Macaca mulatta: one gene and its partners. Each later gene encodes a partner of the first gene's protein in a complex. Links are inferred from orthologs where the notes say so. Each region holds a gene or a part of one and is shown on either strand. Other genes may lie near its edges. The genes, in order: NHP2, GAR1 and TERT.

The links.
Region 2: NHP2 (region 1) and GAR1 share a complex: the UniProt entries of both Homo sapiens proteins name them as parts of the H/ACA small nucleolar ribonucleoprotein (H/ACA snoRNP) complex. The link is inferred for Macaca mulatta from reciprocal best matches to the Homo sapiens genes NHP2 and GAR1.
Region 3: NHP2 (region 1) and TERT share a complex: the UniProt entries of both Homo sapiens proteins name them as parts of the telomerase holoenzyme complex. The link is inferred for Macaca mulatta from reciprocal best matches to the Homo sapiens genes NHP2 and TERT.

What each region holds. Positions count from the first base shown.
Region 1 is NC_133411.1:186,966,780-186,969,059, forward strand, and holds the end of NHP2 (H/ACA ribonucleoprotein complex subunit 2), read right to left. Parts: intron 2,088-2,280; coding exon 1,982-2,087; intron 1,661-1,981; exon of another isoform or gene 1,491-1,660; intron 1,390-1,490; exon of another isoform or gene 923-1,389; coding exon 797-922; 3' UTR 547-796; downstream 1-546. UniProt on the Homo sapiens protein: Required for ribosome biogenesis and telomere maintenance. Part of the H/ACA small nucleolar ribonucleoprotein (H/ACA snoRNP) complex, which catalyzes pseudouridylation of rRNA.
Region 2 is NC_133410.1:119,117,222-119,121,484, reverse strand, and holds the start of GAR1 (H/ACA ribonucleoprotein complex subunit 1), read right to left. Parts: upstream 2,840-4,263; 5' UTR 2,610-2,839; exon of another isoform or gene 2,565-2,609; intron 2,555-2,564; exon of another isoform or gene 2,362-2,554; intron 2,211-2,361; 5' UTR 2,199-2,210; coding exon 1,985-2,198; intron 417-1,984; coding exon 262-416; intron 1-261. UniProt on the Homo sapiens protein: Required for ribosome biogenesis and telomere maintenance. Part of the H/ACA small nucleolar ribonucleoprotein (H/ACA snoRNP) complex, which catalyzes pseudouridylation of rRNA.
Region 3 is NC_133411.1:2,405,991-2,409,640, reverse strand, and holds part of TERT (telomerase reverse transcriptase), read left to right. Parts: intron 1-1,842; coding exon 1,843-2,038; intron 2,039-3,650. UniProt on the Homo sapiens protein: Telomerase is a ribonucleoprotein enzyme essential for the replication of chromosome termini in most eukaryotes. Active in progenitor and cancer cells. Inactive, or very low activity, in normal somatic cells.

The DNA of each region.
Region 1 (2,280 bases):
GTTTACTCCAGGGTGCCTGAACTTGGTTGCTGTGTATACTGAGTCCTGTGCAGGGCCTCTGACAGCAGTAAGAGGCCCCAAGTCTAAAATGTTTGAAGGGATTGGGTTACTAAGGCCATTATGTTAAGCAAGAGAGATAGCCTGGGGGGATGCATTTTAGCTTCATATTCCTATTTAAAATTTGCTGTGTGGGTGGATAAATCGCTTCCATAAGCTTCACAGTGGCATTTAAGGCTCCTGGGGGAAAGTTAAGAATGGGGGTGTTCCTGATGTGGGGGCTTTAGGCTTCCATGAAGTGGGTCTGGGCCCCCTGCCTTACCTCACAGCCCCCATCTACCCTGGAGGAGGGAGTTGAAAGCGCTGGGGTAGCAGCAGGATCAGTTCTCAGCTTGAGCCAAAGCATCTGGCCGGGGCAGCTGAGCATTAGCACAGAACCCTTTGAGTCCTTCGGGCTCTCTGGCGAGGAAAACCGCTTCACTCTTCCCGCCCACCAACTCGGCCCAACCAGCAGCTGCTGCTTAAGAAAACACCCACAGACTCACCACATTTTAGTCTTAGCATTTACTTTCCCCACCCCACTTTCTTGGAACAGCCTTTAGTTCTACAGGAAATGGCACTGATGGACAGAAGACTGGCATTACCTTCATGAAAGGGCTGTTAGAGCTGCCTGGGAAGAAGGCGAGCCTCGGGGAACTGGGAAGATGCAGTCAGTGTGTGTGGGCAGGAGGACAGCCAGTCATCCCGCCGCCAGCCCAGCAGCTCCCAGCGGCAGGTGCCCAGGTGCTCCCGGAGCCCCTCATAGGGGTAGGGGCAGGGACTGCACCTCCTCCAGACACTCGTCGTAGGCCTCCTGGTACTCCTCGTGGGGCTTGACCATTATCACACAGGTGGGGCGCTTGGAGCCTGCGGCTGCACCCAGGTCCTACAGAGAAGAAAGAAGTGCTGTTTGGAAAAAAGGCTGTGCAACCTGTATGCCAGGAAGTCACCAACTGATGACCCACCAGCCTAATCTGTCCCACAACCATGTTCTCTTCGGTCCATGTTCTATTTGAAAGCATCTTGAATTGGTTGCCATCATTTAAACTCAATCAGACTTTCAAGGCATGGTCTAGCCACACACAGCCTACATTCCCACATGACAGCTATGAAAGGGCTCCAGTCCAGCAGGGGCCGTCCCGGTCCCTGCCATCCCTCACTTCCTGTGCCTCAGATCTGGCCCCTGCTATGTAAGATAAGGACAGCTAGAGGTCCCCCTGAGCCTAAACCCACCTAACAGGACTAACATGGGTGAAGCATCTTAGCTTACAAAGCTTACTCACATACATCTGTCTCTTTTTATTCTCATAGTCCACAGAGAACTGACTTCGGTTCTTACTCTTAGGCCAAATGGTAAGTTCCTTCAGAACAGGGCCTCTCCCTGCTTTATCCCAACAAGTGATACTGTGGCTACCCAAGATCCACCCTCCAGCCTTTTTTTTTTTTTTCCCCAGACAGGGCCTCACTCTATCATGCAGTCTGGAGTGTGGTGGTGTATGATCATGGCTCACTGCAGCCTCGAACTCCTGGGCTCAAGTGATCCTCCCACTTTAGCCTCCCAAGTGGCTGGGACTACAGGCATGTGCCACTACACCCAGCTAATTAAAAAAATTTTTTTTTTGTAGAGATGGAGTCTCACTGTGTTGCGCAGGTTATTCCTGAACTACTGTCCTCAACTGATCCTCCTGTCTTGGCCTCCCAAAGCACTAGGATTACAGGTGTGAGCCACAGCGCCTGGGCTAGGATTCCCATTTTATAAGATGGGAACTGAAATGCAAGAGGTAACTCATCTGTAGTCACAAAACTAAGAAGACATGGAGCCGAGAATCCATCCAGGCCTGTCTTAGCTCCAACACTCCTGGCTCTGTCCTATACTCTTCTGCTACGGCAGACGATCCCAGACACCCCAGTGCTGAGCAAGGTCAGGGGGCCATGTGCTCCTTACCGTCTTTGAGGGGATATAGACATAGGGCAGATTTCGGTCCTCACACATGACTGGGAGATGGCAGTATACCTCAATGGGCAGTGTGTCTCCTGCCAAAACCATGATCCTGAAATGAGAGGAAACAGTCATTTCTGGCTTTGCTCCCTCCTTTCAGTTGTAAGTGCCGCCCTGGGCTGGGTCTTAGGGAGAGAGAGAAAACTCTGTTTGGTGAGTGCACTCTTCTGGGGTGATCTCTACCTCTTGGCAACATGTAAGTGCCATCAAAGTGAGGTAGTGCTCGGACAGGTGAAGTACAGGAT
Region 2 (4,263 bases), on another chromosome or scaffold:
AAATCAGCCAACTTAATCTTGTAGTACTTATCCAAATGGCCATTTCTAGAATTTTCCAAAAACAGTCACCTTTCTAGGGTCTGTCATTTTAATATCTATGGATGAATACATTCTCCCCTTGATTCTCCTTCATGGTCCAATCTGTAGCAATCCTGTCTAATTTAATGAAGCAACAAGTCTAATTTACACTTAACCGCCTCCTCACAAAAATACAAATAGCAACCTTTGAATATTATTAGGTCTTCCAATGAAAAAGGATACAAAATCTCTAAGTTGTCCAAATATTTCATCCACTTTTCCAATTTGTTCTTTGTTTTCTAAGTAAACAGGAGCATTGAAATAAGGCACCTTATTTTCATCTGTGGTACATTTACAAACTATGTCATCTTCACAGGGATGCAGGAACTCTCCTAATACTGAAATAGGACAAGAAAATATTAAAACACAGAACTATTTCAAACGATACTGACCAACTTCTTCTGGAAGCTTTCTTCCTGGCTACCTGGGACTTCACCATACCTGCTCTCCTCTGAGGCAGAAGACCACAGTCATTAAGAGTGTGGACTTCCTGGGCTGGTATACCAACTCCACAACACACTAGCTATGTAACCTAGGAGAAGTTACCCACCCTTTCTCTAATTCAGTGTTTCCTCTTTAGTAGACACTAGTAACATATAATGTACAGCTATACCTAATATACAGTAATGTAAGGACTCAATGGAATAACCAATTTCAAGTGCTTAAAACAGTGCCTGGCACATTGAGACCATTCCACATGTAACAGTTATCTTATTAAAATTTATTATCTGATTCAAAACTCTGCTTCATTCTCTTGGTTATTCCTTTTCTTCACTCCCTTTTCTTCAACCCCTAAAAGAATTACCCTTTGTTCTTTTTTTTTTCTCTTGCCTCAGAACTTTCCTATTCCCACTACCACCTCTTTAACAATGATTCATTGTTTTCAAGGACATTTGGAATCTCAAAATAACTACCTTTAGTTCTAACTAACTAGACTGTCCCCCTAAACTAAAATAATTAACACATTCCTGCAAAACCAACTCTTCATTCCTATCACCCAAGCGCAAAACCTGGAACCCTTTATTATCAGCATTAGCTAAGTTCTACCGATTTTGTTTCCTTTGAAATCTCTCTCCTATCTAACCCTTCCTTTTTTTCCTCACCATCCTGAATCAGGCTCTCAATGCCTCGTGTATGGACTGGTACAACAGCTTGCAGGCTGGGACCTTTTATTCTAGAAACTGCTCCTTTCAAACCATCCTGCATACTCATCCAACCATTCTTAGACACTCTTCACCCTCTCTCCTCTTTAATGTAGTAAGTTTCACTCTCTGTGACTTCCATTCCCATCTCATTATTAATTACTATAAAACTATCCTAAATGGGTCTTTTTCTCGACTTCCTCTTTGGCAGTTTCCCTCTCAAGCAAATTGTTTTCTCACTTATCTACTTTTAAGTAGTAATGGAAAGCATGGGCTTTGGAGTCAGAATACTTGGCTTTGTATTTCTTTTTCTGTACAGACAGGGTCCTTGCTTTATTGTCCAGGCTGGTGTCTAACTCCCGGATTCAAGTGATCCTCCTGTCTCAGCTTCCCAAGTGTTGGGATTACAAGCGTGAGCCACGGCACCCAGCCTGTATTTCAGCTATACTTATATTTCAGCTATAAAAACTTAACTCTAAATCATAGTTTTCTCATCTGTAAAATCGGGGAATTAGGGATAAGTACTCACTATTACCTATTTAATATCTTCCTGTCAACCCTGAAGTTCCACTTCCATGATGCATTTTAAGTATCCCTCAGCTTTCTTGATCTCCCCACCCCACCCTTACATGCTACTGTACGATTATGTCAGTTTACATCATTCTCCACACAGGCTTGTGTATCCCAAACTTGCTGGACTAATAACACAAACCCACAACCCACCCCTATTCCTTCAAATAGGCTAAATATTGAAGACTGCATACACACTACACGTTCTGGAGGTCCTTGGTCTTGGCCTTTGTTAAAGCCTCCGCGGCCACCCCCTCGTCCAAATCCTCCCCTGCCGCCGCCTCTGAAATTGCCGCCGCCTCCACCGCCGCTTCCACCTCGGAAGTGGTTGCTGCTGCCGCCTCGGTTGAAGCCGCCACCTCCACCACCTCGATTAAAGCCTCCACGACCTCCGCCTCGAAAAGACATTCTCTCTCCTCCCTGGTGAAAAAAAAAAAAACGACCCGTGTCTTCTGATCACTGTAGCATCTGAGTACACTCCAACCCCTCGGAGCCGCGGTGAGAACACCATAAAGGGGACAAAAGCAGCCCTGTCACCTCACCCACGGTCAGACAGCCAGTGACCACCAACCTGATGGGTGAAGAGTTTACTTCCTCATGGTCTCCTGAGCGCCGACCGACCAAACATACCAGCCTTGCCGCCCCAGGATTAGTACCTCCTCCCCCTTCAGACAGCAAGGTCTTCGCACTGCATCCCCTTCCTTCCTCCCTCCCTCCGGCAGCTGGGTTCCGCGTCCACCATTTTCAAATCCTCCGGCTTCTACGGTCACTCACCGGCGCCACGTGCCCCTCTGGCCCTGGCCTTACGCGCACACCCACCTACTGGGTACTTCCGCCGCGCTGGAACCTCCTCGGCTACCGTACAGCCACAGAGTTTTTTAGACCAGAAACTGGAATAACTGGTTTGCAAAAAAAAGGTAGTCACGCGCGGAACCAGCGACACTGGTTCCAAAACAGCCTTTAGCTTTGGAAAAGTGGCAATAATATCTAACCTTAACCACTAATTTACAACAGAGAGGTCAACTTGCCTAACGCCGCGCCGTGGAAGTGACGTATAATAGCTGCGTCCTTCGCAGCACGACGTCCCGGAAGTGCTGCGGCAATGTTGCTCTTGGAGATAGCTGGCGTTAGGGATCCGCCTTCTCTTCCAGAGGCGGGGTGGGTTTCTGTTTGGTTCCCGCCCTGACTGCCAGAACAACTGCCAGCACCTTGCAAGAAACAAGGTTAGTTTTTGAAGTCCGTGCCGACTGGCTGGGCGCATTTGCTTCTCAGACTAAATGGTGCCCAACAGCGCTCAATAGTTTGTTGCTAACTTCAGCAACTGTGTGGACAGGTCTCTGAGGTATCTGAGCCGCGCTATGTCCAGTGGATCTGGTCGCCTCAGAACCTGTCACAGCCGGCGGAAGCGTTTGTCTGAGTTTCTTGTTTCTTCCCGACCTTTTGATTTTCGCACCACTGAGCGCTCAGCTGTGCTTGTTCTTTTGCGCTATGGTCTCACTAATTAGAGGGAAAAAAGCAATGCATGTGTTTGTGTAATTTTAAAGAAACTATGGTGTCTTATAGAAAACCAAACCATCATTTTTATCTTTTGTACCGGGTATTCATTCAAGTATGTTTTGAGCACCGACAGGATGTGAAGCGGACTGTGCTGGAGGCTCCTCTCCTTCTCGTCTTAAGCCCCTTATATTTGACATCTGCTTCCTCCACATTCTCCAAAGCTTCTCTCACAAATAAAGGTAGTCACTTCCCATTTATTAAATTTGGCTGGAGCCTTTTACAACCAAACCCTCTGAGACCTTACCTTGATATTGACATCGTGTTTAGAAGAGGGTGGAACTTGGTACCTATCTAACTGAGAGGGTTATTGTAAGGGGGATTTTAAAATACCTTTGTAGGCGGGGTGCGGTGGCTCACGCCTGTAATCCCAGCACTTTGGGAGGCCGAGGCGGATGGATCACTTGAGGTCAGGAGTTCGAGACCAGCCTGGCCAATACGGTGAAACCCCTTCTCTACTAAAAATACAAAAATTAGCCGGGCATGGTGGCGCACACCTGTAATCGCAGCTACTCGGGAGGCTGAGGCAAGAGAATCGCTTGAACCGGGGAGGCGGAGGTTGCAGTGAGCCGAGATCACGCCACTGCACTCCAGCCCAGACGACAGAGCAAGACTTGGTCTCAAAACAAACAAACAAAATAAGTGAGAGAAGAAACTTTACTTTTTCTTTTTCTTTTAGTTTAGTAAATGATGCAATTTGATTTTAACGAATGTTGATCTTTTTATGGGCCTATATACGTGTAAGTGTATTATTTTTGAAACAAAAAATGAAAATTACCTATTTAGTGTGAAACCTTTGCTTGTCTTTTGCTGTGTATTGGCTCAGTTCTGAATTGAACTTAAGATTGTCACATACAGATTTCATTTTCAACTGAAATGAGATGATTTCTGTCTTTACTCTTAAAACTTAGAAAAAGCT
Region 3 (3,650 bases), about 180 Mb from region 1:
CTAGAGACCCGTCTGGTGCACTGTGATTCTCCATTTGCCTTTTGCGTGTCCTCGTTCCCTTGTTTCTCACTACCTCTTGGGTTGCTGTGTGCATTTCCTGCCAAGTGTGTGTGGATCCTGTCGTTGCCTCCTGGTCACTGGGCATTTGCTTTTATTTCCCTTTGCTTAGTGTTACCCCCTGATCTTTTCATTGTCATTGTTTGCTTTTGTTTTTTGAGACAGAGTCTCACTCTGTCACCCAGGCTGGAGTGCAATGGCGCAACCTCGGCTCACTGCAACCTCTGCCTCCTGGGTTCAAGCAGTTCTCATTCCTCAACCTCATGAGTAGCTGGGATTACAGGTGCCCGCCACCACACCTGGCTAATTTTTGTATTTTTAGTAGAGATGAGGTTTCACCATGTTGGCCAGGCTTGTCTCAAACTCCTGACTCAAGTGATCTGCCTGCCTCGGCCTCCCACAGTGCTGGGATTACAGGCGTGAGCCACCGCGCCCGGCCTACCCTGATCTTTTAAAATGAAGTCTGAAACATTGCTACCCTTGTCCTGAGCAGTAAGAGCCTTAAGTATATTTTAACTCTGGTCACCACCCCCAGCCTATGTGCTATTTTCCCTGCTGACTTAGTTCTATCTTGGGTATCTTGACACACCCACAAGGTAACCATTATTAATATTGTTTTCCGTGTTCGGTGTTTCTTTAGCTTTGTCCCTGCCCTGCTTTTCCTCCTCTGTTCCCTGTCTGTCTTTTGTCTCAGGCCTGCCTTCTGGGGTCCCCTTCCTTGTCCTTTGCCTGGTTCTTCTGTCTTGTTATTGCTGGTAAACCCCAGCTTTACCTGCACTGTGGCCTCCATGGCTTCTAGTGACGTCCGGGGACCTCTGCTTATGCACAGATGAAGATGTGGAGACTCACGAGAAGGGCGGTCATCTTGGCCCGTGAGTGTCTGGAGCACCACGTGGCCGGCGTTCCTTAGCCAGTGGGTGACAGCAGCGTCCGCTCGGCCTGGGTTCAGCCTGGAAAACCCCAGGCACGTTGGGATCTGGGCTCCGTGGTGACGAGTTTGAAATCACACAAACCTACGGTCTGGTGCCAGCCCCGATGTGCTGCCTGGCGGGGAAGTGTCTGCCTCCTCCCTTCTGCTTAGGGACCAGGACAAAGGATGAGGCTCCGAGCCATTGTCATCCAACAGGAGCATGACATGAGCCACGTGGATCATTTTTAAATGTCTAGGCTGGGCGCGGTGGCTCACGCCTGTAATCCCAGCACTTTGGAAGGCCCAGGCGGATGGATCACAAGGTCAGGAGATCGAGACCAACCTGGCCAACATGGTGAAACCCCATCTCTACTAAAAACACAAAAATTAGCCGGGCATGGTGGTGGGTGCCTGTAATCCCAGCCACCTGGGAGGCTGAGGTAGGAGAATCGCTTGAACCAGGGAGTTGGAAGTTGCAGTGAGCTGACATTGCGCCACTGCACTCCAGCCTGGCAACAGAGGGAGACTGTCTCAAAAAAAAAAAAAAAATAGAGAAAAAGAAAAAAAAATTCTAGCAGCCACATTAAAAAAGTAAAAAAGAAAAGGTGAAATTAACGTAATAATAATTTTACTGAAGCCCAGCACGTCCACAGCTCATCATTTAGGGTGTCATTGGTGGGAGCGTCACTCACAGGACATGTGACATTTTTTGTGCTTGATCTGCGGGATCCCGTGTGTGGGTCCCGTGTGCGGCCATCTCAGCCTGGACCTGCTGGGCTCCCCGTGGCCATGGCTGTCGTACCAGATGGTGCAGGTCTGCGATGAGGTCGCCAGCCCTGCGGTGAGCTGGATGTGCGGTGTCCTTCTCGTTTCAGGGGTGGGCTGTGTGCCGGCCGCGGAGCACCGCCTGCGGGAGGAGATCCTGGCCAAGTTCCTGCACTGGCTGATGAGTGTGTATGTGGTCGAGCTGCTCAGGTCTTTTTTTTATGTCACGGAGACCACGTTTCAGAAGAACAGGCTCTTTTTCTACCGGAAGAGTGTCTGGAGCAAGTTGCAAAGCATTGGAATCAGGTAGTGTACCCCCACGCTGGTCCCCTGCTTCTCGAAGTCCTGCAGCACCAGCCCCGGCCTCAGCGTGCGCCTGTCGTCCCGGCGCCGGTGCTTCCCTGGCTGTGCGGCTCTGGGCTGGGAGCCAGGGCCCCCATCACAGGCCTGGCCCGAGTGGATTCTGTGCTGGGCTCTGATTGCCCGGAGCTCACTTTCTGTTACTTGTGAAATCAGGAGTTTATGCCAAGTGGTCTCTGGGGTCTGTAAAGCAGAAGCGGTTTATATTGGATGGAAACACTACCACCAGCCTCCTTGCCCCTCCTCGGGATGTGGATCCGATTCTCTCTTTCTCTTTTTTTTTTTTTTTTTGTTTTTTGAGATGGAGACTTGCTCTGTTGCCCAGGCTAGAGTGCAGTGCCATAATCTTCACTCACTGCAACTTCCACCTCCCGGGTTTAAGCGATTCTCCAGCCTCAGCCTCCTAAGTAGCTGGGATTACAGGCACCTGCCACCACGCCTGGCTAATTTTTGTATTTTTAATAGAGATGGGCTTTTGCCATGTTGGCCAGGCTGGTCTCGAACTCCTGACCTCAGGTGATCCACCCACCTTGGCCTCCCAGAATGCTTGGTTTATAGGCTGAGCCACTGTGCCTGGCCCCCGATTGTCTTTTAATTCATGCTGGTCTGCATGAATCTTTAATCTGCTGGATTTAGGTCACGAGAGGATAAAATCCCACCCTCTTGGTGACTCACTGTGGGGAGCACCTGTGTGGGGAGCACCCGGGGTAGGAGATGTCCATCATGAGCTAACTTCTAGGTGGCTGCGTTTGAATGGCTGCGAGATTTTGTCTGCAGTGTTCAGCTGATAAGAGTGTGAGGGATTGTGGCAGATTCAAGCTGGATTTGCGTCAGTGAGGGACTGGAGTGCTGGGCTGGGAGACATCAGCCTGGCTGAGCCCAGGCCATGATATTAGCTTCTCTGTGTCCCACCCAGGCTGACTGGAGGGCTCGGTGAGGACTCTTTAGTCACAAGGTCAGGGCTTCCCCGGCTCCTCTGCACACTCGAGTCCCTGGGGGGCTTCTCACACCCCATGCCCCAAATCAGGATGTCTGCAGAGGAAGCTGGCAGCAGACCTCATCAGAGGTAACACGGCCTCTGGGCTGGGGACCCCGACGTGGGGCTGGGGCCGTTTCCTCCTGTATCTGGGGGAGAGTCAGGGCTTTCCTTGTGGGAACGAGTTAATACACAATGTGCCCTACTTAGACATTGCACATAGTGAATGGTGTGTGACCCAACGTGGTCATTTGACCAGTGTTTTGGGAAGAATTTAATTGGGGTGACAGGAAGGAGCAGACAGACGTGGTGGTCCCCAAGTCGCTCCTTGTCACGGCTGGAGCTGATGTTCTGCCTGAGGGGCCTCGGAGGCCCCTCCTCCCTGGACAGGGTACTGTGCCTCTCCTGTGCTCGGCTGGGCCTGCGGCCTGGGGTCAGGGCACCAGCCCCGGAGCACCCTCGGGCCCAGCGACCATAGAGCACTAGGCCGTCATCCGCAGATGCCCAGGTCCAGGTGTGGCCACTCCAGCCCCCCACTCCCCCATGGGTGGTTTTGGGAGAAAACACCAAAGGGCAGAGGTG